Linked DNA regions of Stegostoma tigrinum. The protein of the gene in region 3 purifies or fractionates together with the protein of the main gene of each other region. This does not show direct contact. Links are inferred from orthologs where the notes say so. Each region holds a gene or a part of one and is shown on either strand. Other genes may lie near its edges.

The links.
Region 1: the proteins of ywhae1 (region 3) and tbc1d1 purify together in Homo sapiens (affinity purification with mass spectrometry; 4 studies listed by BioGRID and IntAct, with this or other methods). This does not show direct contact. The link is inferred for Stegostoma tigrinum from reciprocal best matches to the Homo sapiens genes YWHAE and TBC1D1.
Region 2: the proteins of ywhae1 (region 3) and c1qbp purify together in Homo sapiens (affinity purification with mass spectrometry; 4 studies listed by BioGRID and IntAct, with this or other methods). This does not show direct contact. The link is inferred for Stegostoma tigrinum from reciprocal best matches to the Homo sapiens genes YWHAE and C1QBP.
Region 4: the proteins of ywhae1 (region 3) and cep170aa purify together in Homo sapiens (affinity purification with mass spectrometry; 3 studies listed by BioGRID and IntAct, with this or other methods). This does not show direct contact. The link is inferred for Stegostoma tigrinum from reciprocal best matches to the Homo sapiens genes YWHAE and CEP170.

Annotation. Positions count from the first base shown.
Region 1 is NC_081354.1:97,047,490-97,054,881, reverse strand, and holds the start of tbc1d1 (TBC1 domain family member 1), read right to left. Parts: upstream 3,006-7,392; 5' UTR 2,774-3,005; coding exon 2,390-2,773; intron 1-2,389. UniProt on the Homo sapiens protein: May act as a GTPase-activating protein for Rab family protein(s). May play a role in the cell cycle and differentiation of various tissues.
Region 2 is NC_081380.1:3,374,933-3,382,524, forward strand, and holds the start of c1qbp (complement component 1 Q subcomponent-binding protein, mitochondrial), read right to left. Parts: upstream 3,005-7,592; 5' UTR 2,946-3,004; coding exon 2,714-2,945; intron 2,169-2,713; coding exon 2,018-2,168; intron 561-2,017; coding exon 473-560; intron 1-472.
Region 3 is NC_081380.1:46,892,390-46,899,706, forward strand, and holds the start of ywhae1 (tyrosine 3-monooxygenase/tryptophan 5-monooxygenase activation protein, epsilon polypeptide 1), read right to left. Parts: upstream 3,006-7,317; 5' UTR 2,501-3,005; coding exon 2,437-2,500; intron 1-2,436. UniProt on the Homo sapiens protein: Adapter protein implicated in the regulation of a large spectrum of both general and specialized signaling pathways. Binds to a large number of partners, usually by recognition of a phosphoserine or phosphothreonine motif.
Region 4 is NC_081362.1:83,728,952-83,736,649, reverse strand, and holds the start of cep170aa (centrosomal protein of 170 kDa), read left to right. Parts: upstream 1-4,697; 5' UTR 4,698-4,814; intron 4,815-5,111; exon of another isoform or gene 5,112-5,130; intron 5,131-7,698. Other genes in the region: sdccag8 (serologically defined colon cancer antigen 8 homolog), read right to left, coding at 4,023-4,086.

The DNA.
Region 1 (7,392 bases), on a different chromosome or scaffold from region 3:
ACAGTCCGAACCCTAGTGTTAATGGATTGGGTATGTAGAATGCCAGGGGGAATTTAGGCTTTTCTGTTTAAAAAGTGGTACCTGAGAGATGACCTTAGAGAGATGTACAACACAGCAAAATAATTAGAAATTCTGGTTTCGAAGGTTATATCAAAATAAGTTGTAAATTTGGTACAAAACTGTACAAATTGGAAGGCAAAATTTAAAATGCTTTCAGGAAGTCCTGTTTTATGCAAAAGTCATCAACTATGATTGGGGCTCCCAGACACAATAGTTGAAGTGAAACCCTAGCATTATTTAACAATTAGATGACACAGCACAAGGAATCTAGTCTCTTTCTGAATAGACAAACCAAAATCAGCAAAGTTTTACTTCTTTATCTTGCAATTACAAATATGCTTCAGGCCTCAAGCAACATCATAGGAGGTTAGCTAGTAATACCAACAAACACAAGGCAAACTAACTAACAAAATCTCACATAAAAGATTGCTGCCAGGATTAATTCTCTCTTGCCTCATAATAAACCATAAGTACACTCTCCCAACGCAAACAGCTGAGATCATTCACTTGTGTTTGAATTCGTCAGGAATATCCTGGGGGATACTGCTGTGCTGAAATGGAACTGCATCAACCACAGTAACTATACAGATACGCATACAACTTTATAGGAGTACATCAGAGGCTGGGAATTCTGCAATCAGTAAATCCTCTCCTGACTTCCCAAAGCCAGTTCATCATCTATAAGGCACAAGTCGGGAGCATGATGGAGTATTTCTCACTTGCCTGGTTAAGTGCAGCTCCAACAACACTCAAGCTCAGCAACACCGAAGCTAAAAGCAGCACGCTTGATTTCCACCCCACTCTTTTTCACTCACTTCCTCAGCCACCGACACGCAGTGGCAGCAGGTTTACCATCTGCAAGATGTACTGCAAGAACTCACAAAGGTATCTATAATAACACCTTCCAAATCTGCTGCCACCACCACCCACAAAGCCAAGGCAGCAGGTACATGGCGATATCATCACCTACCAGTTTCCCTCTATGCCACACACATCATCCTGGCTTGGAACTACATCACCATTTCTTCACCGTTGCTGGATCAAAATCCTGGAACTCTCTTCCTAACAATGCTAGAGCTGCACCTGTGCCACATGAACGTCAGTCTCTATGGTGTGTAGGGGACATGTACCAGGTATTTACCAAACAGTTGGCAGTTTGAGACCACCCAGGGATGGAGCTCTCACTGTTCCCCCAACATCCACACCCCCAACCCGCTCACCTTTGATGGTCTGCAATGCCCTTAATGGGCTTTGCTTGTAAATATTCAATAGGCTATAGAAGTATTTTACTGGTGGTATTAGTTTGAAAGAGGTCACAGTGACTTCTGTGGTGGGAAGATCGCTCAGTTGTGTGTAAGAACAGTGTGTAATTCTGGGTAAGATTAAATTTTAAAAAAAGTCATATTCAGAAAAGACTTGACATAAAAGAAAACCTTAAACATGGTAACTTGTACCCGGCACATTAAAGTCCTTTGGGGGTAGGGGCTACAGGGGACAAATGCTCATGGCAAAAGCTGGTCTCTGAAGTGAATCTCATCAGACCTCCCAATCAGTATTTTTAAATGATGAGAGATTTCACTCACTTCGCACTATTTTAAGTAGCAATAATAGAAAGTGGAAACTGTCTCTTCAGCAAAACAAAAAAAGCAGTTTGGGGATACAGCTGTACTTTGTAGCGCACTTTAGTTTGGCTGGTGTGCTGTGGTGGCAGTGCTTCTACCTTTGAGGCAGAAGGCCTGGATTCACGTCCCATACATTCTGGAGATGTATCATGCTATTTCAAAATACCTGAGTGTAGAATGCAGGTGGTGTATTGCGAAACATCAATTGTGGGGCTCTCGTTACACCACAGTAGTGACCCTACCTCTGAGCTAGGAGATCTGGGTTCAAGTCCCACTTGCTCCAGAGTTGTGTAATCGCATGGCTTGACTTAAAATATCTTAGCCGTCAGCCGAAGTGCCACTAAAGGAAGAGCAGGGATACAATTATGTTGTACTCGCCCCTTTTATCTTTGGAAATAGAGTTTCCTTCAGGTTCCATTAATGAAGTATCTCTGACACACACACGCACGCACATATATTGCAAACAATGGTCTCTGTATTAAAGAGGAACTGATGATGGAAACCATCACGTTATGAAATCGTCTTCAGTAAACCAGCCCAAACATTGCACACCGCTGTGTCTCTAACAGGAAGTTTACCCCACTATCAACGATATTTACACTAATGATCACTCAGTGTTTCCAGTAAAAGTTATACATTCTGTTGCACTTGAACTTTCCGTATTGTTCCTGTGGATAGCAGGCCGATATTGGCAGGAAGGGTCTTACCAGCGTGTGATCAGAAGCTCGGAATACGAAGCAGAGACTGTGCTGGGGCTCCGGGCCAGCCTGGCTCCTGGTCAGATAGGCGAAGTAGTTGGGTTCGCTGCTGTAGTGCAGCAGCTTGTAGATGTGCTGGGCTTGCTGCTGGAACACCGGGCTGCCCCCACTCGCTGCCACACACCGCAGCCAGCCCTGGCAGACCTGCAAGCGGACCCTCCGGCTCCCTGCACCCCGGGCACTCCGTCTCCGTACCTCCGCCACCACCCAGGGTAGCATGGGCATGGTGGTGAGCTGGTGAACCGGCAGCGAGCCCACCAGCTGCAGGCTGAAGCGCTGCCCTTTGGCCCCATGGCCGAAGCTGCTCCTGGCCAGCCGCCGGTCCGACTCCATGCTCGGCCCCTGCCAGCAGCAGCTCGCTCTGCCTCTGGCTGCAGAGTCACTGCACGCCGGATCCAACCCCGTCTGCAACTCACATCCGCCCACATCATTGCAGTGCACCTTCCAAATGTACCAAGCCCCCAAAGTACAAAGCTACTGAAGCTCCACCACAATCACTCCTTCAGAAATTGCAAACGCACTTGCTGTTTCCTTTGCATTCGGGCAAATGCCTGGCGCGATGTCTGCGGATTTACACTGCACGGTCGGACCAAGGCTTTTAGTTATAGCGTTTTATTCGGAGTCAGAGCACGGGAAGGTGCCGCGCTGGCGGAATTTCCACATTGCTTTAAGCCGCATGCCAAATTCTGTGCCCATTTCCGACCGATTAGGAGAGACTAAAAGAGTTGATCAAATTTATGAAAGATCTTGACGGGGATCCCCAACTGAAACATCTTTCTGCTGGGTATGGGAGGGATGAAGTGGCTGCATAAACATCGCACGAAGAGGCAGGTTGAGAGTTTTGTCGGCATTGGTTCATGATAGAACCAGCAACAAGGCATTGCACCTTTAAGGTGCTTGTAACATAAACCAAGATGCTGCACAACGACATAACTTGTCAGAAATGGGCGGTGCTGGCTTTAGGAAAGGTGGCCAAAGAAGCCCATTGTTAGAAAGGTCTTAAAAGGGGCAGGGATAGCCGAACGGTAAAAACTTTCAAGGGCCAGCACAAGAAGTGCTAGCTTTGGACTGTTCTATTGAAATTAGAGCAACCATCAGCTCTGTCCACATGACTAAACACAACGTCCGTTCTTCTGCGTAAACGTGGAATTAAACCCATTACTGCGCTCTGGACTTTGCAGATGTAACTGGTGATACATTATACACTGACCAAAACACACTGCCTTCCATTGAAACCTGAATCAGGTGGGTTCATGATGAATTTAGATAGCATTCATTTTTCATCGTCAGAACCATGACCATAACCTTTGAACTTGTTTTGATTCTGAATTTTCCTGTGCAGTCAAGACGTTTGGTTTTATAAATGCTTTCCTGCAGTATTTTATACTCAACATTTTACCTCCTATAACAACAAATTCTTTGCAGGGGAAGTGATGGTGTCATGAGATTTTCAATGAACTAGTAATCCAGAACCATGGGATAATGCGCTGGGGAAACAGTTTTAAGCCTCACCTTGACAGATGGTGAATTTAAATTCAAAAGAAGCCTGGAATTAAAAAGCTAGCCTTACTAGAGCATAGGAGGTTAAGGAGTGAAATTAGAAGTTTATAAAATCATGAAGAGTATAGATAAGGTGAATGGCAGGTGTATTTTCCCCAGGGTGGGAGATTTCAAGACAAGGGAGCATGATTTTAAGGTGAAAGGAGAAAGATTTTAAAAAATACATGAAGGGCAACTTTTTTTACACAAACAGTGATTCATGTGTAGAATGAACTTCCAGAGAATGTAGTGGACACGGGAGGAATTACAATGCCTTTTAAACATTGGGATAAGCACATAATAAGAAATGTTTGGGGGGATATAGGCCAAGCATAGGCAGGTGGGACTAGTTTAGTTTGGGGCTATCGTTGGCGTAGACTGGTTAAACCAAAGGATTTGTTTCCGTGCTGTATGACTTCATTAACCAAAACAAATAGGTTTTTAAAACAATCTAATTCATGTAGAGAAGGGAATTTGCTATGCTTACCTGGTCAAATCTCGATTGGACTCTAAAACCACAGTAATATATTTAACTCTTAACCGCCCTCTGACATAGTCTTATAAGCTATTCAAGGACAATGAGGGATAGTCAACAATACCCACATCATATGAACGGATTTTTTAAAAAAAACTGATATCAGAATTTGCGATAGGGTGGATAAATATTAGATCCTTCAGAGATGTCACTAATTAAACAGCATGTAATTCAGAAGTAAAAACAAATGCTGGCTATAGATGGGTGCACTAGGAGAACCAAGGTAGGATGACAGGTAACATCAAAATGTGGCAGATGATTTACAAATGTACAGGGCATGAACCAAAGTGAACTTGTGATGATTGTCTTTTGTGACAAACACAATCTAGTGGAAAGTCATGTTCGATTTCAGCCCCGTCTTACCACACGCGATTACCAAAACAAATCACCACACAGTGGGTACCCCGGACCTCAGCAGCAACCCCTACGGCCACACAATCTGTCAAAGCTCATAGTGCACCCAAAAAAGCTGCCCAGCTCCTGACATTTGGCCTGGACATGGCAGACCAGAGGATATCGATGCCCGGCCTTGCAGCAGGGACCTGGAGGTTAGGATAGACCTGCTGGATTAGGTGGTGCAGAGGTGTGACTTCCTATTCTTCCAGGACTAAGAATGGAGGCTGCAATGCCAGAATATGCCACTTTGGTCCAAGGTTTTAATCTATACGTCCTTAGCTTGCCATGATCTGCCTGTACTGCTCAAAAACAAAGCTTTTCACTGTATTTCAGTACACGTGACAGTAAAATCAAAATCATAATAAACAAATCAAAGGTTAAAACTGTTTCAGCCATCTGGAAGAATGTACAATGCACTGTCATAAGAAGAACAGCTATCGGAGGCTCTCTTGGCTTACTGTGCCAGGACCCTTTGAGCAAAAGTTTGACTGAGGCCACCTGACACCAATGTTAAGCTTCCTCCATTTGTGTCAGTGCTAAACAGCAAGGCAAAATAGAAACAATAAATCTCATATCTCTAGTGGTGGATGCAACATACAGAGTGACATAACAAAGCCATGCAAGGTAAAGATGCTATAAGCATCCAAATAGGCTCAGAGTAACTGAGCACTATGACATTACTTTGCTCCAAACTTCACAGAGGAACACACGAGTAATATCTCAAAAAATTCGAGAGAGTCAGAGGCAGAACCGAGTATGTTGGCCATCACCAAGGAAAAGGTGCTAGAAAAATTGAATGGCCTGAAGGTGGACACATTACCAGGGTCAGATGGACTACACCCCAGAATTCTTAAGGAGATAGCTGAAGGGATACTGGAGACATTAGTGGTGATCTTTTAAGAATCACTGAAGTCAGAGAACAGAGAACTGGAAAATTGCTAACTTGACACCCCTGTTTAAAAAGGGAGTAAGGCAAAAGATTGAAAATTACAGGCTGGTTAGCCTAACCTCGGTGGTAGGTAAGATTTTAGAGTCTATTGTGAAAGATGAGATTTCTGAATACTTGGAAGTGCACGATAAAATAGGGAAAAGTCAGCATGGCTTCAGCAAGGGGAGGTCATGCCTGACAAATCTGTTAGAACTCCTTAAGAAAGTAATGAGCAGGTTAGACCAAGGAGAGCCAATGGATGTTATCTACCTGGACTTCAAGAAGGCCTTGACGAGGTGCCACAGAGGAGGATGCTGTGTAAGATAAGGGTCCGCGGTGTTAAAGACAAGGTGCAAGGATGGATGGAAGATTGGCTGTCTGGCAGAAAGCGTAGAGTGAGGATAAAAGGGTCCTTCTCAGGTGGCAGCCAGTGACAAGTGGTGTTCTGGAAGGGTCAGTGTTGGCGCCACAACTTTTCACTTTGTACATTAATGATCTCGATGAAGGAACTGAGGCTGCAGAAGGACTTGGACAGGTTAGGCGAGTGTGCAAAGAAGTGGCAGATGGAGTACAACATGGGAAAGTGTGAGGTCATGCACTTTGGTAAAAAGAATAAAAGCATGGACTACTTTCTAAATGGGAACAAAAATTTAGAAGTCTGAAGTGCAAACAGACTTGAGAGTTCCAGTCCAGGATCCTTCCAAGGTAGACTTGCAGGTTGAGTCAGTAATTAGGAAGGCAAATGCAACTTTGACATTTATTTTGAGAGGACCTGAATATAAAAGCAGAGATGAAGCCCTATAGGGATCTGGTCAGGCCACATTTGGAGTATTGTGCACAGTTTTTGGCCCCATATCTCAGCAAGGATGTACTGGCCCTGGAGCGGGTTCAGAGGAGGTTCACAAGAATGGTCCCAGGAATGAAAAGCTTAACATATAAGGAACATTTGAGGAATATGGGTCTATACTCCATGGAGTTAAGACGGATGAGACAGGATATAATCGAAACTTACAGAATACTGGCCTGGACACAGTGGATGTTGGGAAAACATTTCCATTGGTAGGAGAGGCTAGGACCTGAGGGCACAGCCTTAGAATAAAGGGAAGACCTTTTAGAATGGAAGTAAGGAGAAACTACATCAGCCAGAGAGTAATGAATCTGTGAATTCACTGCCACAGAAGGCTGTGGAGGCCAGTTCATTGAGTATATTTAAGACAGAGATAGATAGGTTTCTCAACCCCATTCTCCTGTTACCCTTGAAAAATCAAGAACCTGTGTGCCTTGATTGAATGGTGGAGCAGAATTGATTGGCTGAATAACCTAATTTCAGCTCCTGTGTCTTATGGTCTTATATTCAGCAAAAAGGCTGGAGATGCAGCCTGGTCCAGTCCAATGAGCAGGGTGCATATCTCAAAGCGCAGTGTCCTTGCTGTAGCATTACAATGGTAGTTACCAATGCAATGATGTGCACTTAGAGATGGGCATTTCAGATGCCAATGTCTGTGAACAAGTGCTGTGTGGATGGTGGCCATGGATTGTGCCCTGAGATGGTGG
Region 2 (7,592 bases), about 44 Mb from region 3:
GTAGCGCTAACGTTAGGTTGGACAAGGGCAAGAGGGTAAGGCCTATAGCAAGTTACCTTCCACATGCCTTGACTGTACCCAGATCCACCTCTCCGTACCACCCAGTGAGACCACACGTCCAAATACAGAACTCGTATGCCCAGGTAGGTTTTTACAAAAGTTCAAGTTCAACCCATTCTGGTTCAAACTTTTCACCCAGTCAGTTATCGAGACCAATGGCGTTCACTGTTCTAATATTGCCTGCTTTGGGATTCTAGGAAATAAAGTGGTGCTTTAAAGGGCTTTTAAATACTCATGTACATTCTGTTCACATAGACAGACCTCCAACTCCTATCTATACAAAATTCCACTCAACCCAGGGCACAGGATGAACAATACACAGTGGAGTTTGTTTAATTAATGCCTGTTTAATTACCTCTCAACTTTACTAAGGTGACAGTCAAGAGTACTGTGCAAGTTCAATCCAACTCACCTCATTCTCTGAACCCTTCTGTCCTTCCTGTGGTTCCTCCTCCATTGTTGGCGGAATGCTGTTATTGATATTAAAGGAGACTGTAACTCTACAAACAGAAAGAGGTAAATGGTCACTATGGATAAAGAAGTAGTCAAAAAGGTGTCACCAGCTGCAATTCTGAACTGCAAAGAATCGGAGAATGACAGGGAGCACGTTCTGATCTCAAACTGCTCACAGCCAAACTTCATTTAAAACTGGGACTAGTAATATATTTGTCATGACATTTAAGAACTTGACAATGATGTACTAAAGCTGAATACTGGTCCTGCACAGGCTAAGGAACTATCAGAATCTACATGCAATGGTGAACATTATAATCTTAATTTGATACTGTAAGCTTTCTAGACTAAATATACAGTGAAATTCTATGATAACTCAGCTCAATATACAAAACTGATTATGGTTTGGGGGGGGGGGTCTTATGAGTTCAAAATTAATTAAATCTCTATTTAATCCTCATTTTGCTTGCTAAAAATTTTCTCGTTAACATGATGCATCTATTATGCAATCTCACTTATTAGACTCTAGAGTCCAAGTTATAACAGACTCCCATTATAGAAGCGCTGTTGTCTTGTGCAGGTTCACAGGCACATGCTTCACAGGAGGCTCCACAACACTGAGGATGTCACCCAGTAAACAGGACAAAATATCTGCTACCAAACCTCCCAGCTCGGCAAACACACCAACATCTACAACCAGTACTGCAGCCACAAATCTTCACTCAAATCCTGGACTTCCAAATGTATTTCAACATATTTTCTAAAATTAAAATGCATTTTTCAGAGTGTAGTACATACTCATTCTACATTCAATTCTTTTGGGGCAGAAGTAACTGGTGCTGAGGTATTGGATTGTTGGCTTAGTTTTCACTTGACTGAGACGTTGTGGATTTAAATGCCCTGCTCCAGGAGTTTGTATATTGATAAAAACAATTACTGCTGATTCAGATCTTAAATACAAGCTGCTGGAGAAATCCAACAGATAACGGCACCATCTCCAGATCCAAAAATGTTACACTGGACTCAATGTTATTTGCTTGGGGAAGCGAAGGCCTGGAGATATTAGCTTTAAGCTATTAATCTGACCGTGGCAAACAGATTTCCTTCCTAAAGAAAAGAAGCTGTCGTTCTTACCTGGTCTGGCCTACACGTGACTGAGGATAACATGGTTGATCTTAACTGTCCGCTGGGATAGAGGATAAATGCTGGCCCTGCCAGAGACACCCATGAGGGAATGAAAAAGAAACTTTAACAGAAACTATCAGCCATGTGGCCTTTGTTACGTACTCCTGTCCATCATCTACTGCACAACAGGAAGTGCTTTCTTTAGGATGAATTGTTAAAGAAATACCATCAAGTTCAGGTGAGATTTTAAAAACAAATCCATGGAACTTGTTTAAAAAAAAACAAATTCTTTTCCTATCCACAATCCACTGACATGATTTTAACTAAAAACATACAAATTGGCTGCTTGCCCAAATGATACCCGAGTGACCTCACTTACTTTTCACCATCAACTTTCCTTACAAGTTTCGCCTCAGTCCCATTCAGCCCAATTTCCCAGCCTCCTGACACCTTCGGCAGTGTTGAACTCTTCTGGATTTTCTTCTCCTCCTTGATTTCATCAGTGAGAAATTGAGCGAATGCTTTGTCACCTACAGGGACAATGCAAATCCAGCCAGTTGAGATCAGATACAAGAACACCCCATCATGTTTCACACAGACAGCGACCCAAAGCTCTCGCTGGTTTCACAGCCAAGGACTTGGCCCTGAAGAAGAGGAGACCTTCAACTTAGAGCCTAAGTTATAGAAGTCAATAGTATAGAAAAGGGCCCTTTAAACCCATTGAGTTTAAGAATAATCATCTAACCATTCTAATCCCACTTTGCAGCACAGCCTGGGTGGGATTGTCTGGCCAAGTTGTGGACAGCAGTGCACAGCACACCAGAGCAGAGAGCCCCACCATGGAACCAGGGAGAGGTGGGCGAGGGGCTGAGAACAGGGATGGGGAGCTGGGGGGCGGGGAACCGGGACGATGGGGAACCTGGGGGGGGGGGGTTTGGTGGTGGTGGGCAGGGGACCTGGGGGGAGGGGGGGGGTTGGTGGTGGTGGGCGGGGGACCTGGGGGGGGGGGGGGGGGGGCTTGGTGGTGGTGGGCGGGGGGGGCGGGGACCGGTTGTGCACCCACCCCCTCCCTTACCCTCCGTGTGCAGGGCCCCGCAGCCGCAGGACACGCCGTTGAGAAGGTGGCTGGAACGGAGCGGCCTGCGGCCCGAGGCCGAGCTGGAAAGCAACCACATGGAGCGAGCGAGGCCGCGGATCCCAGGGGGCCCGGTCCGCAGGACGGAGGCGATCGGCGGTGTCAAGGTGGCCTGAGGGCCCAGGCGGGAGGAGACCGACACGAGCCGGGACAGGAACGAGAGCCTCAGCATGGCAGCAGGGAACGGCGTGAAGATCGTGACCCGGAACCGGAAAAAATCAGAGCAACACCATGTTCCTCCCACCCCCAACCACAACCTATCAGCTGCAGGAATGGAGGAACCAATCAGCTGCAGGGATGGAGGAACCAATCAGCTGCAGGGATGGAGAACCAATCAGCTGCAGGGATGGAGGAACCAATCAGCTGCTGGGATGGAGGAACCAATCAGCTGCTGGGATGGTGGAATCAATCAGCTGCTGGGATGGAGGGAGCAATCATATATTCAAATTGAGCAGCCAAAGAACGATTGGGATCCTTGGATGAATCCACTCTTAAGAGTGAGGGACCAATTAACTGCTTGGATTGAGAGACCGATCAGTTTCTGGGCTCGCAAGACCAATCATCTACTGGGATGAAGGGACCAATCACCTGCTGGGATCTAGGGAACAATCATTAATGGGAAAGTGAGACCAAACAGCATCTGTGATCGAGGGAACAATTAGTTGCTGGGGTTGATGGAGAAAACAGCTGCTAGGATTGAGATACTCATCCGCTTCTGGAATCAAGAGTCCAAATCAGCTGCTGCAATTCAGGGGCCAATCATCTTCTTAGATCAAGGGACTGGTAGCTACTGGCAATGAGCACTAAATGAGATTCTGAGATTGAGGGACTAATTGAGCGGAGGTGTAGCAGTGCTGCGTTCAAGCTCCTGAGTTTGTCCACATACATCTGCTTTTCTTTTTAAATTCCTTTTTGCTTTCGTTTTCTCCTTTTTTTGGTGATGGATGTTGCCTAAGCATGTTCCGGAAGCAGCAGGAGGAAATTGGAGGTGGCTGCTTCAGTGCTGAAGGGATTGTGGCTTTGTCAGGTCTGGAGCGTGGAGCGACGGAAATGTGGAAAGAGCGAGAGGTGACTGAGGTCTCCCCGCATCTGTGACAGCAGTGGTGAGAACCAGACAGCCGACATCTCCCAGAGACTGAACTAAGCAAAGGAGTTCGAGGCCACAGCATGCCTAAGCACACAAGAAAATGTTGCAACTTTAACTTTAATTTCTTTATTTTTCCAATTAATATTAAGGACTTTAATATTAGCTATTACTTTATTTCTCTATTTTTCTGTTTACACCATGATAAACTGTAATGTTTAACTTTTAACATTGTTTCTCTCCTTTACCACTTTCTACCTGGGTACCATTGTACCTGAGAGATAGTAAGAACTGCCGATGCTGGAATCAGAGATAACACAGTGTGGAGCTGGAGGAACACAACAGAAGGGTCCCAACCTAAAATGTCAGCTTTCCTGCTCCTTTAATGCTGCCTGGCCTGCTGTGTTCCTCCAGCTCCACGCTGTGTTACCATTGTACCTAAGATGTGGCAACATTGTACACTTTTCATCTGACAATAAAACATCTAAGTCTAAAACCAAATTTAATCAGCTGCTGGGATTGAGGGACCAATCAACTCTGGAAATGGATGGAACCAATCAGCTGCTTGAGCTGAAGACACAATCAGTTACTGGGATGAAGGGATCAATCACCTGCTGGGATCGAAAGATCAATTAACTTCACGGGATGGAAACACCAATCAACGCTAGGATTGAGAGACCAATCAGCTACTGAGATCAAGGGACCAATCAGCTGCTGCGATGAAGAAACCAATCAGCTTCTGGAATTCAGAGAACAATTAGTTACTGGAATTGGTGGAGCATTCAGCTGGTGGGATCAAGAGACCAATCAGTTGCTGGTGTGGAGGGACCAGTGACAGTGAAGTTCAAAGATCACAGCAACCCCAGTGGGATCGAGGGACCAATCAGCTGCTGAAATGGGTGGAACCAATCAACTGCTGGTTTTTGAACCAGTCAGCTGCTGAAATGGGTGGAACAAATCAACTGGTTCAAAAACCTAGCAATCAGCTAGGGTAAAGGGATGAATCAGCTTTAGGTGTTAAGGAACCAATCAACTCTTAGAATTGAGAGATCAGCTTCTGGGATTGAGGGGCCAATCAACTGTTAGGATTGTGGAACTAAACAGCTGGTGATTTTGAAAAACAAATCAATTGTTGGAATCAAGGAACCAATCAAAGGCATCTAGTCCCAATTTGATACCTGATTTCAATGACAAAAGGGATACAGGATTGTGGAAGGGAATTGTTAGATTGGATGTCTTCCACCTTCACAGGATACTGGATATCACTTGGAGAGACAACATCTAAAAAGATATGCTGCAATAGTCTGGACACAGGTGACTACTGAAGATTGAGAGAGAGATTCAACTGAGACCGACAGGATATATAGTCTCTCTCCCGCCAAGTCAGGAAGGCTGTAATGAGTTGGATCAAAGGATGAGGTTTTGTTCTTTGAATTTACATTGAACTTCATTAGAAAATGGCAGCAAACTGAGGACAGTGAGGTCAGAAAGGAACAAAGTGGAACCTTGAGATCGTGCTTATGGACTGCATGGAAATGTTCTGCAAAGAATTGCAGGATTGTTGCAGCATAGAAAGAGACCATTCGGCCCATTGTGTCTTTGTCAGACCTCAGGATGTGCAATTTGCTCAGAGCCTTTCCTCCATAGCCCTGTACTGTCTTCCTTTTTCAATAATAATCCAATTCCCTCCCAAAGCCATTGACTGAATCTGACTCCAACAAACTCTCAGGTTTTGCATTCCAGATCCTAGCCACTCCATGCATTGCAGAAGTTGATGGGTTGACTAAACACAAATTGGGTGCCTGCTTTCTCATCATGTCTGGAAGCAATGGAGACACAAGTTTGCCCTTGAGTTTAATGATTTTAGATTATAAGCTCTGCATCACTTTTTATTTGGAAACTACTATTGCTGATTCTATTTCTCTTAATGACAGAAACTCTGGACACAAGCTTTATTTCTTTATTAGATTTAGTTCCCCTCTAAGATTCCACTGCTGGCCCTGGTAATTGCATTTGGATGATGTTGCCTGGAGGTTGTGTGTTGTCTCATCACCTTGGAATCAGAGGTCAAACATAGAAAATGCTGGTGCTAAGGTGAAGAAACAGATAAGAGAAGACCTAGACCTAGACAAGCTCTACCTACGTTTGTATAGTTGCCTTAGTCTGGGAGATATATTCTCAGTGTTGGACATCAAGGGGGAACATCAGAAACAAATAGAAGGAACCAAATCAATTCCATCTTTTGACCATCTGGTACATTGTCCATGTAGAACTCTAAACCTATAATTGGATAATGCCATTACTTGCCACCTTCCAAAGTCCCTTTCCTCCCTAATCCCTGCCTAAAACATTGCAGCTTTTAATTCCAGTTGCTGTCCATGTTTAAGCTAGGTCTCAGCTATAGTCACTACATTAGAATTAGCTTTTGCACATGTACTGAAATGATGACAGTGAAAAGTTTATAAGTCCTCACTTAACGCACCATCTTAGGTACAAAGGTACCTAAGTGCAGCTTCTTTAGTTACAAGATCTTAGAAAACAGAGAAATGAAAAGCCCAGCATTGCAGAAATAAAAGTTCAGAACAAGGGTCTTCCAGCCCAGACCATGCTGGCACCTAGCCACCAGGCCTTGGCTCCAGACTGCACGGGGTTTCACCTGGGAGATTGCTCTGGAATCACCTCAAGACTGGGAGTCCACGCTGAGGCCAGACCAGCTCAAGAGACCATCATGCCACACTGGACCACTGCCACGGGAGGCCACTATGTCAGGCTGAGAGGACCTCTCATCATGTTTGTGCTGAGGCCAGGAGTCAATTGAGGGCAGGAGGGAAGAAGAGGAAAAAGACAATGAGCAAGAAAAGAGCAGGCAGAGCAGACAAGCTTTGGCTGAAGCGTCATACTCTGTCACCATCTTGGACCACAGCTCCATTTGTTTGATCTTTTAAAGTGATATGCAAACCAAGCAAACGCGATGTGAGAATACTTTTTCACACAGCATGAATCAGGATATTGAATGCATGACCTGGAAATGTGGAGGCAAGTTCAATTGAAGCATTCAAGAGAGCTTTGGATACTTTTGGATAGTAATGGTGTGTTTGGGGTATGGGAAAGGAAAGGGGATTGGTTATAGATAATACATTCGGTGCAGGGACATTTCTGCTCGAATTCTGTGATTCTGATTTTCTATGTACCTTGTCTTGCTTTGACTGTGTTTCGTTGTCTCACGCCATGTCAGTTTTATCCTCTTTTACTTTTTCGTCTTCAGCTTTTTGTCCCTCTGCCTTATCCTGTTACTTGTGTGCAGCAGGAGGAAAATTGAAAGCAAAAGAAAAATGGTGAAAGGAAAGACAACGAAGGAGAGAGCAGTTAAAAGGACTTTTGTAGCTTAATAAATGGGGGCGTCAGAGTGCAGGGCTGCAGGCAGCCTCTGGTGGCTGCAAAAGCCTATGGCACGTGGTATTCCCAGGCAGTCTCCCACCCAAGTACTAACCAGGCCTGAGTCTGTTTAGCTTCCGAGATCAGATAAGATCGGGCACTTTCAGACTAGTATGGTTGTATGCACATGCTGCCTGCATTTTCTGCTCTTTAAAGGTAGGCAGTGCTGACAACACTGTGTTATGTGTTTGTTCATACTTCTCAGAAGGATTTTTGTTGTGTTTATACATTTATATATGTGTTGCTAACACTTTGTTCCACTTGCTGGTTTTAATGTTTTCTTCAAGCCTCTAAATAGAA
Region 3 (7,317 bases):
AATTACCGAATCTTCCAAAATTTAAATTTTCAAAAGACTGTCAAAGTCCTTGGCACAGCTTTATTGCTATTATAAATTAAAAAAGACATAGAAGGCTTGTTTATATCAGTTTTATTTGTAGCAGAAATTTGTTTACCATGCAATTGTCCTAGTTCCCTATTCCCCATCATCTCGCACAGGTTATTCAGCCTACATCTGTGACAACTATTTACTGGAAACAGATTTGTAGTTTTAGAAACTGCAGACTGTCCGACAGTGTAAGGAAGACCTGGATTTAGTTTGGCAGCACAAAGAACAAAAATGCCCTCAGGTTAGATTACTTCTGCTAGGAAAAAAACTACCGCTCATTCTGTTAAAAGATCTAAGTTTAAGCAAATTTATAGGTTTCTTTCAGCCCTGAATACTCAATGAAATCATGTCTAAAGCATTACAATCTTATTAGTCTGGTCAGCATAATACACCAGGATGGGAAGAACTTTACTAATTAGAAACACCTTTGATGGAAAAAGGTCTTCGAAGAATCTTAAATCAACTCCATTGCTTGGCCATTGTACCACAAGTTATGGGAAACAGTGTCTGTTTGATGGATGTATGTGGACTCTGCCTGTGCCACCCATGCAGTATGGCTAAGTCAGTAATGGCAAAGAATGTAGTGCATTTCTTCCAACACTGCACAATTAAGAAATACATGCAATTATTTTAGTGAAACCAGACATGACTAAAAATTGAGAAAAAACGAAACCCCACATCCCATCAGTATGAATATTTGAAAACGAGCTCCACCGAGTCTGTTTAAAGATGTCAAATCCAACTATTGTCTAGAGATTTTCACTCAAAATTAATTTACAAAGTGTCCCATGGCACTTGTCAGAAAAGATCCCATCCATAATTTTGAAATTACAATATACCACACAGTTACTGCAACTGTTTAAAACATGTCACACCAAAAATGCAGTAAATTACAGCAATCTAAAATATTTCTACATTGTACTTGCAAACAAATAGCCCCTCCCTCCAAAAGAAGTTGCCCATATTACAGACAAATCAGTTGGTACAGTCAAATTTATATTAATTAGTAATTTCACAGTTAGCTTAAGGGAACTGATTTTAAAACGTCAACAAGATTCATACTTTTTCCTCAATTATTCACAGAACTTTAACAGGTAACTATTTCAGGTAAGCAAAATAATTCCTGTTGTTGTGTGAGGGAGACAATGAATAGCATCAAAAATAATATCCTTAACTCATCATAGCTTAAATTTAGCTTAATTTCAAAAAGGAATTTCATAACAGCTTATGAACCCACATCTAGGTTTACAACTGCTGAACCCAGACTTGTCAATAGGTTGAAATTACTAAAATAAATAGTCTACAAAACCTTGCAATAAGAATCTGGGAAAACAAGTTTGAGTCAAAATGTGCAATAACAAAAAAAACCCTCTGCAATGAGAAGCTGGGTTTGAGAAGGAATTCCTGGCCTCCACCCCACCTCATTTCTCAGCATGTGTGCGCTAAGGGTGACCTGCAACTTCCGCCTAGGCAGAATGAGGCAAGAATCGTCTTTAATCCCATTGTGTATAAGAATTAACTATGAGGATTAAAACATTCCAATTCACATTTCCGAACAGGAATTCTTTTTTACGTGAAACAGAGACATGAATTAAAATGGTGGTCTGGCCCAGTCTCCGGGCGCTAAACCTTCAGACGCAAATTCCACCGCATTCATTTTCTGAATTAAATCAGTGGGAAGGCGGTGAAGAGGAGACATACACCGCCATCTATTAACCCAAGTCCTCTTGCCCAAGCACTGAAGAAGCAATTCAATGTCATTCTGCAAATCGGTACTTCTTCTTTGCTCCGGGGGAGGGAGGGGGAAAACGACGAAAGATTCAACCTTCAGAACCCGAGGCTGGGGGTAAACGTCGAGGGAAATTATACTGGAAAACGGGGGGGGGGCGAAGAGAAGAATCTGAAAGAGGGAGGGTGGGAAGAAGGCGACTTTCACAGCGGATGCACCTCTCTCCATGATGGAGAAGGGAGGGGTCAGAGTGAATAAAAGACGGCCGGGATCTTGCCGTGCCTCCCGCCGGATTGGAGTCAATGCCCTGCCCAGGCTGGGGAGTAGGGGAAGGAGGAGTGTGGGGGGGGGGGGGGTTAAGGTGGGTTTTGTTTAAAAGATCCGGGATCGGGTTGGTAAAAGGAACGGGGGGGGGGGGGGGGAGAAGAGAGGGGAGAGCGCGGGCACCGAGCGGCCGCTGGGCGCCATTTTGTGAAGCCGGCGGCCGGGAGAGACAGGGTGAGGAGAGCCGGGGGGGGGGGGAGAGAGAGAGAGAGAGAGACACGACAAATCCCACCGCTCAAAACCCGGCACCACAAACACAAAACCCCAAAACAACTAACCCACCCAACCACCTCACAACAACGAACATCTCTCACCGTCGTAGCGCTCAGCCTGCTCGGCCAGCTTGGCTTGGTAGACGAGGTCCTCGCGGTCCTCCATGTTCTCCGGTGGAGGGGGTGGGGAAGGGAGGGTGGCTGAGGCGCTCGATGGACGGGAAGGAGGAGGATGAGGATTACCTCGTTTTTAAAAAAAATAAAAAAGAAATCGCCGGCGGCTTTGATTTAAGAGGGGCTCCTTTCTTTCCGTTTAGGTTGCGGTTGCGGCAGCGGCAGGGGGGGGGGGGGGGAAAGAGGGGTGTGGCGGCGGTAGGCGATCGAAGGATGCAGAACTTCGGCAGGAAAAGAAATAACAGCGAGCTAATCTCACTTGCCGATTCTTCTTTTTTTTTTCACTTCCCAGGCTTTAAAAGCCCGCAGACAGAGGAGTGTGGTTCGGGGAGGGGAGGACTGGCAGAGAAGGCGAGGCGAAGTCGAGAGGCAGACACGGAGGGAGCGACCGCCGTCCTCAGGAAGCAGCCGAGCCGCTCACACACGAACCTTGTTCGCCCGCTCGCACCCGCCGCCGAGCAGCTGCCAAAATGGCGGACAGACAGGGTATAGTTCCGGGCTCCGCTATCCCAGCGCCTCCTTTACCCCCCTCCCTCACACACACACACACACACACACACACGCGCTCTCACGTTGCGCGCCGCCGGGTAGTGAAGCGGCGGCCGCACTACTTCCCTTCCGTCTTCCCCACTCCAAAGGGCTTCAGCCTGTCGGGTGGGGTTGTGCGCCTGCGCGGATGACGGCGGAAGGATACGCGCCCCTCCCCGCGGGTGGAATCATAGGGCGGTGAGAAAAGGCAACAAAGCCCATAGTGCCGGGCACCGCGCCTTCGGGCGAGCGCTCCGCGCCGGTGAGGTGGCACAAGCGGAGCGCCGGCAAAAGTGTGGGCAAGGCCGCTGTGTCTGGCCGCGCTGCGGAAAGAGCGCCAGCTGCTATAAGAGAAAGGGTAGTGTGGGCGTATGGAGAGTAGCATGCACACGTATATGTAAAAATTGCATGCAAAATTATACATACTTGCAAAAAAGCAGGCTGCTCAATGCATTCCACTCGAAGGAAAATATTCTCCATTAATTCATTTGTTGATCAATGTCTTCGGCTTTAAGGGAAAATAAAAAGGAATCGTTGCACACAGGGCATTCTGAAACCAAGTAGGACAGTCACCTCCAACTGTCAGGCCATCTCTACAGGAATTCCCAGTGTTCTAGGCACTATAATGTTCAGCTGCTTGTTCCCTGACCTCGACTCCATCATAAGGTTAGAAGTAGGGATGATGGCCAATATTTGCACAATGTTCACAACTCCTCAAATACTGAAATAACAAAGTGTAGAGCTGGATGAACCGAGCAGGAAAGCTGGCATTTCCTTGACCCTAACCCTCCTTAAATGCTGAACCGTGTTGCACAAATGCAGCAAGATCTGGACAGTATCCAGATTTGGACTGACAAGTGGCAAGTAACATTCAGGTGATCCAAATGCCAGGCAATTACCTACCATGTTCAACACCTGAAGAAGGGCTGACACTCTAAATGCTTGTGTCTTCAAATAAATCTGTTGGATTACAACCTGGTGTCAAAAACAAAGTTGCTGGAAAAGCTCAGCATGTCTGGCAGCATCTGTGAAGATAAAAATTAGAGTTAATGTTTGAGTTCCAGTGACCCTTCCTCAGAACTCAACCTGGTGTTGTATGATTTCTGACCATTTCTAAGGAGAAAATCTCATCATTGCCCCTTGACATTCAATGTAACAAACATTGATGAATCTCCTTCTACCATAGAATTCTGATGATTGGGTGATGCAGATAAACTCTCTGCTCTGTCAGGGGATCCCAAGAGAAGGAGATTAGATTAGATTAGATTCCCTACGGTGTGGTAACAGGCCCTTCGACCCAACAAATCTACACTGCCCCTTAAAGCATCCCACCCAGACCCATTCCCCTACAACCCACACACCCCTGAACACTACAAGCAATTTAGCATGGCCAATCCACCTCACCTGCACATCTTTGGACTGTGGGAGGAAACCGGAGCACCCGGAGGAAACCGACGTAGACACGGGGAGAATGTGCAAACTCCACACAGACAGTCGCCTGAGGCTGGAATCGAACCCAGGTCCCTGATGCTGTGAGGCTGCAGTGCTAACCACTGAGCCACCATGTCGCCCCAAAGAGATGTGACCTTAAAATTGGAGGCAGGCAGTTTATAAGTAAAATCAGAAAAACATTTCATAAAGAGTAGTAGAAAAAGTTATGGACGCTGAGCCAATTTGACGTCTTTTTAAAAACCAGAAGAACTGCAGATGCAGTAAATCTGAAACAAAAATAGTGATTGCTGGAAAAGCTCAGCAGTTCTGGCAGCATCTGGGGAGAGAAATCAAGAGTTAATGTTTTGGGTAGAGTGACCCTTCCTCAGAACTCCTCTCAGAAGGGTCACTCGACACAAAACATTAACTCTGATTTCTCTGTTTTTAATGTGTTACAAACCTGAGCCTGATTGATACATTTTTAAGATCATTACAGGATTTGGACGTGCCGGTGTTGAACTGGGGTGGACAAAGTTAGAAGTCACATGACACCAGGTTACAGTCTAACAAGTTATTTGAAATCACAAGCTTTTGGAAGGGGCTACAATCACACAATTTGGAATTGGAGTACAAACAATTCGTAACCTAATGACTGGTGAACAAGGCTTGAGGGCTGACTGATCAACTTTGTTACAGAAATAATTAGGCTTTTCAGAACTCATATGCATACAACACAAGAGTAATCTAACCAGACAAAACTCTATTTTTACAGCTCAAAGTAGTTACCTGTTTGCACTTATAATTAGCTCTTAAAATTATTTTTAAAGTTTATTTCTGCAATGCATAAACTGGACATTGTCAAACAATAAAAAAGAAAATTTCTACAAATTAGGCTGAAAACACCTTTCTAAAACATTTGAAATTGTGGCTTGAAAGAAGATGTACTTTCCTAAGTTTCATTCAGCCAGGTTCTGATGTCTCTAAATTTAGACAGGGTGGTTCATTAGATGCAGGTACAGTTATAACATTTGAGAGACATTTGGGCTGGTATGTTAATAGGAAACGTTTAGAGAGATATGGGTCAAATGCAGGCAAGTGAGGCTAGTTTAGGGGAAACTTTATCAGCAAGGATGAGTTGGACCAAGGAGTCTATTTCTGTGCTGTATGACTCTATGACTTACATTGTAAAAGGAGGCTGTTTGGCCTTTCCTGGCTGCGCCAGCTCTCCAAGTCAGCACTGCACACAGTGTTATTATCCTACATACTCTCTGTATCCCTGCACATTTTTCCTTTTCCAAAAGTCAGCCTGCCTCAATTTAAACTTCCTTGACCACACTCAGGCAATGTATTCCAGACCTTCATACTCACTGCATGAAAATTCTTTTTCTCATACCACGGTTACTTATTTTAACAATGTAAAATTGACCTCTTGGAATTAAGAACAAAAACAAAGATTGCTGGAAAAGCTCAGCAGGCCTGGCAGCATCTGTGAAGGCAAAAAAACAGTTAACGTTTCGGGTCCGGTGCCCCTTCCTCAGAACTCAATCCTGGGATTGACACGGACCACAAACTGAACGGGCCCAGTTATAAAAATACTGAGCTGGTAATTCTGGATGAGTAACTCACCTGACTCCCGAAATCCTGTCCAACATCTACAAGGCACAAGTCAGGAGTGTGAAGGAATGCCTCCCATTTGCCTGGGTGAATGCAGTTCCAACAGCACTCAAGAAGCTTCACATATCCAGGACGAAGCAGCTCACTTGGTTGGCATCACATCCACCAAATTCACCAATTCACTCCCTCCGCCACCAGTACACAGTGACAGTACCATGTACTATCTACAACATGTGCTGCAGTTAGTACCAAAGCTCATCCAACAACAGTTTCCAAACCATCAACCTTTACCACCTAGAAGGAAAAAGACAGTCATGACAGGGAAAAACATGCCCTCACCTTACCAATCTGCCAGCTACAGACACATCAGTCCGTGATGGTACTGGTAAGTGTGACCACTGCACACTCCATTCACTCCACATGTCAAGAAAGGGTTGGAAACACTGGATACTGCAAAGGCTACGAGCCCCAACAACATTCCAGCAATAATATTGAACATATGGTCCATAACATGCCGCTCCCATAGCCAAGCTGTTCCAAAACAGTTACAACACTGGCATCTATCCGATAATGTGGAAAATTGCCTAAGTATGTCCCGTGCATTAAATGCAGGACAAATCCAACCCAGCAAATTACCGCCCGTCAGTCTCCTCTCGACCATCAGTAAAGCGATGGAGGGTGTCAGTAACGGAGCTATCAAGCAGCACCTGCTCAGCAATAACCTGCTCAGTGACGCCCAGCACCTGATGTCATTACAGATTTGTTCAAACATGGACAAAAGAGCTGAATTCCAGGGGTGAGGTGACAGTGGCAGCCCTTGACATCAAGACTACATTCAACTGAGTGTGGCATCAAGGAGCCCTAGTGAAACTGGAATCAATGGATATCATAGGTGAAGCTCTCCACTGGTTGGAGTCATATCTGGCACATAGGAAGATGGACATGGTTGGTGGACATCACTCATCACAGCTCCAGGACATCTCTGCAGGACCATCTCCAGCTGCTTCATCAGTGACCTTCTCTCCATTATAAGGTCAGAAGTGGGGATGTCCACTGATGATTGCAAAATGTTCAGACACTGAAGCAGCCCATTTCAAATGCAGCGAGATCTGGACAATATCCAGGCTTGAGCTGATAAGTGGCAAATAACATTCACCACCACATAAATGTCAGGCACTGACCATCTCCAATAAGAAACAATCCAACCACCGCCCTTTGCCATTCAATGGCGTTACT
Region 4 (7,698 bases), on a different chromosome or scaffold from region 3:
TCTATCCTCACTGATTACACACTGTGGGTCAGGAGTTCAGGATACTGTTGCAGAGGGTGGAGCAGAGACCAAGGTCTCAGGGTTGAGATTAATTTGGTTAGAATTATAGTGTTGAAGGAGAATTGTAGACAATAAGTAGAAGCCTGACATAGGTATCCTTGTTATCTAAATATTCCAAGGATGAATGCAGGGCCATGGAGATGCTGTGTACCATCTGTTGAGACTGTAGGTGAATCGCAATGGGTCAAGGCAGGCTGAGAGGCTGGAGCTGACATGAGCCATGACTAACCTCTTGAAGTGCTTTGTAATTATGGAGGTCAGAGCCACCACGTGGTAGTCATTTAGGCATGTTAAATGAGTCTTTTTTGGTGCTGGAATGATAGTGATCTTCTTGATACAAGTGGGGACTTCAGATTGTAGTAAGGAGAGATGAAAGATGTCAGTGAACACTCTAGGCAGCTGGACTGCACAGGATCTGAGTGCGTGGACTACTCCATCTGGGCCAGTCATTTTCTGTGGGTTCACTCTCCAAAAGGCCAATGTGAAATCTGCAGCATAACTGATGAAACAGGTGCAGCTGAGGCTGTTGGATTAGGTGACACCGTTTTGCTGAGGCTCTGTTTCAACTGAGCCTAAAATGTATTGAGCACATCAGGGAGAAATGTATTTTGTCCATTATTCTGTTATGTCACGTAGGCCTTACCAGAAACTACAGGTACCCATGTGGTTAGTTTTGCTCTCCAACATAGTCTAGTATTAGTTCTTGGCATCTCCAGTGGCCTTACAGAGGTCAAATCTGGATTTCCTGTGAAGATCAGGGCCGTCTGACTTGAACATTACATACTTGGTCTTTATTAGGCAATGGAGTTCCTGGTTCACCCATGGTTTCTGGTTGGGGAATATATGGATTAACTTCTTTGGCATACAGTCCTCTACACCCTTGCTAATGAAGTCCATGACAGTAGCAGCATACTCTCCTGGGGGCATGGCTGCTGAGTTCTTGAATATGGGCCAGGCCACCAATTCCAAGCAGTCCCACAGAAGCTCTTCCGTTGCATCGGACCAACACTGTGCTATTTTCTGTACTGGGTCCTTATGTTTCAACTTCTGCTTAAAAGCCAGGAGGTAGGACACAGTGTTGCGATCTGATTTTCCAAAGTGCAGACAGGGTATAGAGCAGTAAGCACTTTTGATGGCTGTGTCGCAATGGTCACGGATATTTGGCCCCCTGGTGGGGCAGAAAACAGGTTGATGGTATTTTGGTAGCACCTGCAATGTTGGCCTCATTAAAGTCACTGACTACGACTGAATTGGGCCTCGGGGTATTCCGTGGGTAACAAGGTGGGTAAATGGAGTTGAGGTGATTAGCAGAAAACATTGAGGAGTTGAACGGCTTACTACTGTTACTTTTTCACAGCACCAAATTTTAACAATAAAAAAATGCAATTCACCAAGGCTGGACAGCACTGAGCAGTCTAGCAATGCAGAACAGTGATAGAGGGCTAGTTGAAAAGGTACAGCCAGGAGGTGGCAGCTGAGTTAGTTCTCCACATGTGTATTTGGAGAAAAGATGGTGGGAGCAGGGCCAGGAGTTTTTGAAGATAGAAGGGCAGTAATAGAACTAAGGGCAGAGGAGATGCAATAACACCTGATGTGGTCCAGGTCTGCATTCACTGGATGTTAGAAGAATGACACTGGACTTGATTGAAACATAGGGGGCTTGACAGCATAGATGCTGTGAAGTTGTTGCTCCTTGTGGGAGAGCCTAGGACCAGAGGGCATAATCCCATGGTAAGGGAGTATCCATTTAAAACAAAGCCAAGGAGAAATTTCTTCTTTCAGATTTTTTTTTTAAAAAGCTAATTCACTGGTTTGCTATGATGAGGAGGTGCTGGTGTTGGACTGGATGGACAAAGTCAGAAGTCACATGACACCAGGTTATAGTCCAACATGTTTATTTGAAATTAAGTCTCTTCACCTGACAAAGGAACAATTCTTTGAAAACTTGGAGATTTCAAGTAAACCCGTTGGACTATAACCTAATATTCTGACTTCTGACTTTATTTGTACCATAGACAGCCGTAGCTTGTTACGTATGTTCAAGGCAAGAAATAGATCATAATTAGTAATTCATAATCAATACTTTTGGGGACAAGGCAAGCAAGTAGAACTGAAGACTATCAAATCAGCTACTTTTCCCACCAAATAATAAAGCATGATCGATGGATTGAAAGGCTAACCTTTGCGCCTACATCTTATGGTTTTAGTGGTCTAGGTTTGGATGAGAAAACCTGTTGTGTTATGCATGAAGGACCATAAAGCAGATGAACAATTTTTTTTGGTATACGTCTAATTTCCTTCTGAAAATTACAATTGAATCTTTTTATTCTGCCTTCATGTTTAACTATAAGTCATATGACATGGGACCAGAACTAGGCCATTCAGCTCATCAAGTCTGCTCTGCCATTCATGGTTGAGATGTAATCTGCTATAACCTGGAATGAACTGAGACGAGGAGGAATTTCTTCAGCCAAAGGGTGGCTAATCTGTGGAAGTTATTGCTGCAGCAGGTCAAGTTATACAGAGTATTTAAGACAAAGATAGATTGGTTCTTGATTGATGTGGAGATCAAAGGTTATGGGAGAAGACAGGAGAATGGTGTTGAGGAACATCTCAGTCATGACTGAATGGCAGATAAGAACTAGTGGGCTGAATGGCCGAATTCTGCTCCTCCATTTTATAGCTTATAATTAAACATGAAAGCAGAACAAATGCAGATTCAATTGTAACTTTCAGAAGAAAATTGGATGTATACCAAAAAAACTGTACAAGAACAGAATGAATTACACAAACATAGTAGACTGCATGATCCATGTCTGCACTGTATTTACCTTTCACCCTTAGGAAACAGGTATTAGTCCACATTGGGAGATGAACTAAGTTATGGAATACCAATGGTTTTACTCAGGTATCAGCATGAATACTGAGCTGCGGTTAAAGAAATTGTGGATATGTAAGCATTATAGTGAATGGGAAGCCAAGGGCGAGACAACTGGAATGGAGAAAATGTAGTTGTGAGCAACATAGGGTGCATGTTTCTTTTCCGCCCCAGGAGCAGATACGTAAATAATTGGAATTGAAAAAGCAAATAGAAGGAGTTGAGGCTGAGCAATGAGGGACAGGAGAGGCCATCAACAATGGCAAAATCAAAATGGGAGTTGTAAGTGAGAGTGGGATTGCATTCTGGACAGGACATTCCTGAGCTAGCAAAGTCGTGTGATGATCAGCTCGTTCCGGTATCACATTAATATAAACTGTTTTAAGTTCATACATTTTCAAAATGTATATCTTTATTTTCGTAACTCCATTACCACTGTAGATTCGCCCAATGGCTCAAATGAAATCAAGTCGACAAACGTTTCACTGCAAATGACAATCTGTTATCGTTGCATGGCGAATCTCAGGAGTACTGAACGTGATTCACAAATCAGTATAGAAAGATTTTCAGAAAAAAGGGTCCCAACCCGAAACGTCAGCTTTCCTGCTCCTCTGATGCTGCCTGGCCTGCTGTGTTCCTCCAACTCCACGCTTTTGTTATATCAGACTCCAGCAGCGGCAGTTCCTACAATCACGAGTCTTTGTTTTTTTTTAATATTCGTATTTTGTAGACAGAAAGGAGGGCAAAACAGTTGTTCCTCATAACTGCAGTGCTTTTAATTTAAGCACTCTTCAAAATCCACATGCCAGTATATTTCTCATCGGAGTCCATGGGGCGTTTGCCCCCCAAACAACATGTAATTTCAGCAGTTCCAGAAAATTCACCAAACTTTCATCTCTACACAGTTAACAATTTGATGCAATGTGAGTACACAGGAGCTGTTTTTTCGAAGGTACAACTTATCAACAAATACAGATGTTACAACAAGCCTTGGAGACCAACCTCGGCCTTGCTTATCCGTGCCTTTAACTGACAGCTGTCTCCTATAAACAAGCCTGCCCCTTCGATTCGGTCGTTCGCTTACCTCTTAAACCTTTCAGATACGTCTCTAAATCGTTCTCGATGTTCGACTCGCAGGAGGCCTTCATGTTGTCCGATCATACAGCGAAAGGTTAGAAGTACCTCTCGATTAAAAAAAACAACGTTGACAGCAAAACAGAAAGGTTGATAATTGGAAACGCTCCGCACGGCTTTGGTTAAACTCCAGCGCCGCTGAAAGGACGCTGCCCCTGAACCAATCAGCACCGAATTCAAATTAAACTTTGGGCTTCCTTTCACCATAGAGACATCAGGTTCAGCGAAGGAGGAGTCTCCGCAGCGAATGCTGGGGTTTGTATTTCTACTTGAGAGTCAATGCTGTCGGCAGGAACGGAGCATTGGACGGTCGACAGGATAGGTGCCGAAGGCCAAAGGAAATACAATTCCCAGAAACGCTTGCGGGAGAATCCGGGTACCTGCCTTTATTTCTTCCCGCCCTTCCTTTCATTCCAGAGATCTACACTTTCGATCCCACCCTGTGAAAGCCCCCGACAGCCGCGGTTGGCGCGGTGACGGCATGCTTGCGGTTGCGATTGGTCAAGAACTCCGTCAATCATGAGGGGGTGTTGGCTTCGCCGAGATGGAGCCTCAGGCTTTTGGACAGTGGCTATGGCATGTGGTGCTCTGCGCATGCTTCAAACAATCTCTTCCCCCCCCCACCCAGCGCCTACCCGTCTATTCTGCTCGAGCGGCCGCTATGTGGAATAACGTTATTGCTGAGCAACGGGCGGGTTGCTGATGTTTGTCTGAGCTTCGGCAGGGCAGTTGCCCTGCTAGGGTGAGTATGCTATACGGAAATGCTGAGGTGATAAAGGCTACCGGTTTATGCGCTCCCGCCTTGGAGGAGGGGAGGATCGATTTTAGTATTTTGAAGTTGAAATGGAATAACGGTTCAAGGGATTGTGTATAAAATGCTGCTGGGTGGGGGAGGGGCGTCTCGTAGAAGTGACCATCCCGCAATCGCCACCTGACAGGTCGCGGTCCGTGGACTTTTTCATGGGCTACTTCTTTCAAGCTATTATTTTGGATTGTCGACATTCCCACCGTTTTTCATTTGAAACGAGTGGCAGCTGAAAACGAGAAGGCGTTTGGAGGTTCAAATGGCTATCCATTTTCTTTTATTCATTTGGCTCCTCTTTCACCCTTTACTAATATCCCCTTTCCTCCTCCTCCCCTCCCAACTGTGCTCCTCGTTCCTTACTGTAAACTATTCATACTATCTTCCGAATTTAGTCTAAACGGCATGCCGAGATTTAATGTTCTTTTGCATTTCACTCCTCCCCTTAATTTAATGGATTTTAATCAAGATTTCTTTTAAGTGAAACGCTTTCTAATTAACATGTCAGTGGATCCGAATGAGTAGTACCCAACCGGTGAACGATCATGTCGATGCATTTTTTCATGTTTCTTTTTGTTACCTCGAACAAAGGAAGCTTTGGGGTACACCACGGAATTTCATCCGAAGGTCTGCATCTTTTTTTTTGTCGATCGTTCGAGATATTCAATACCCGTAGAAATTCCCTTGTTTTCGGTGAAGCCGACGCGTCTTAATGATTTAACCAATTCCGCTCTGATTGTTACACAAAATCCAGTAATGCAAAAGTAGCATAGCTGGATAGGGACTATTAGCAAATTTCTGGCACACTGCCAGTGTAGTGAGGGCATTGCAAATCTTGTGGAACAGACTAGCCATCACTTCTCGTTTTGAAACGTAATGATTAGATTGTATTACATTATTGGCCTTCCTGCATTAGAAGCCCAGTAAATTCATTTATAAAATTCTTCAGAAACGTTTCACAGGAAATGTTTCCTGTTCCTGTACATTCCCGCTAAGGGAATAGGGTCACATGAAACTGGCTGGAGTGTTTCCTTTTCGGCTTTCATTTCAGCAATGTGTTCCTTTCCTCTGTGCTTTATATCGACAGACTTTTCAAGTAGGTTGAGTCCCATTCGTTTCTGTAAGACGTGTATTTTAGTATTTTTGACAGTGAAACAATGCGTTATTTTGTGGCCCTTTCAAAGGACGGAGCAAGAAGGAAACCTTTATTTTACTAATCATAAAATGGAAGTTGCCGTGCTGGAACTTTTCAGTGTTGTTTTTTTTGTGATAAATCTTAACTTGGAACATTATTAGATTTCTTTCTGCAGCATAAGTAAGACAGACCATGGAAACTGAAAACTATATGGTCTCATCTGTATATGTATCAAAAAGCTGTACAGGACCACAAATAGCCTGAACTGTAATAGACTAATCAGTTGAGGACAATCAACTGAGTCTTAAGTAAAAATTTGTCCAGTTTGAATTTTGTGAATCTGGAAGTCTAGCAGAACTAGTAAATTCTAAATTAAAATACTTCATTCTGTTTTTATCTGTAACTTAAAGATGTTCCCAAATTAATCGTACCATTGATTGAAATGTGATTTTATCAGTTAGATACTTGCCTAGCCTCCTTTTGTAACCTATGGAATCCGCCTCCACCACTCTCTCCAAGTAGCACATTCCAAATTCTAATAACTGAATAAAGAAGTTTTTCCTTGCTTCAGTCCTAGCTCTCTTGCTGGCAATCTTGAAATTTTGACCCCTATTAACTGAACTTTTGCATTGTAGACTAAAGTTTATGATAATTATCAGAGATAATGGGAACTGCAGATGCTGGGGAATCCGAGATAACCGTGTGGAGCTGGATGAACACAGCCGGCCAAGCAGCTGCTTGGCCGGCTGTGTTCATTATTTGTGATAATTATCCTTCTTTCTAGCTCAATCTTTTTTTGCTTTTTGTACTTTTAATACTTTTAACAGATTCTTAGTTAAACTGAAAACTGTTTCTTCTATTCCCCTTTTTATAAGCATGATTTTCCAATATGTTTCAATTTTTAATTTGAAAATGAAAGAAAACAGGAAAGTGCTACACAGAATGGCTAGAATCAGTGGAAAGAATGAGAAACAAGACAATTTACTGTAACCTTTGCACCAGCAGTCCTTGGTTGACTGTCTTTCAGGAGTGACATTTAAACATTAGTGCATCTGCTTGTTCAGGTGGATATAAAAGATCCCATGACATCTTTTCAGAGAAGAGGAGTTATCCCTGATGCTTTCCAGCCAGTGTTTATCTGTTCGTAACCAAAACAACTTCTTCAGCCATTATCATGTTTGTGGGAGCTTGTATGTGAATTGGTTGATGGGTTTTCAACCTTTACAATATGACTGTACTTCAGAAATACTTGATTGACTCCGATAGTGGTATTATTGATTAAACTGTTAATCCAGAGGTCCAGATAATGTTCTGGGGACCTGGGTTCGAATCCAGCCATGGTGGAATTTGAATTCAATAAAAAGAATTATCTGGAATTAAGAGTCTAATGATGACCATGCATCCATTGTTGATTGTTGGAAAAACCCATTTGGTTCACTAACGTCCTACAGGGAAGGAAAATGCCATCCTTACCTAGTCTGGCCTGCATATGACTTCAGACCCATGGCAATGTGGTTCACTGTTAAACTGCCCTCTGGGAATTAGGGGTGCTGCCTAACCAGCAGCGCCCTTGTCCCATGAATGAATAAAGGGGAAAAAAATTGCAAGATGTTTTTTGACTGGGTTCGAGTTGTTTAGGTTTAAGAGGGACGGAAGTTTGGATAAACTGAAACTTACAAAGAGCACAGG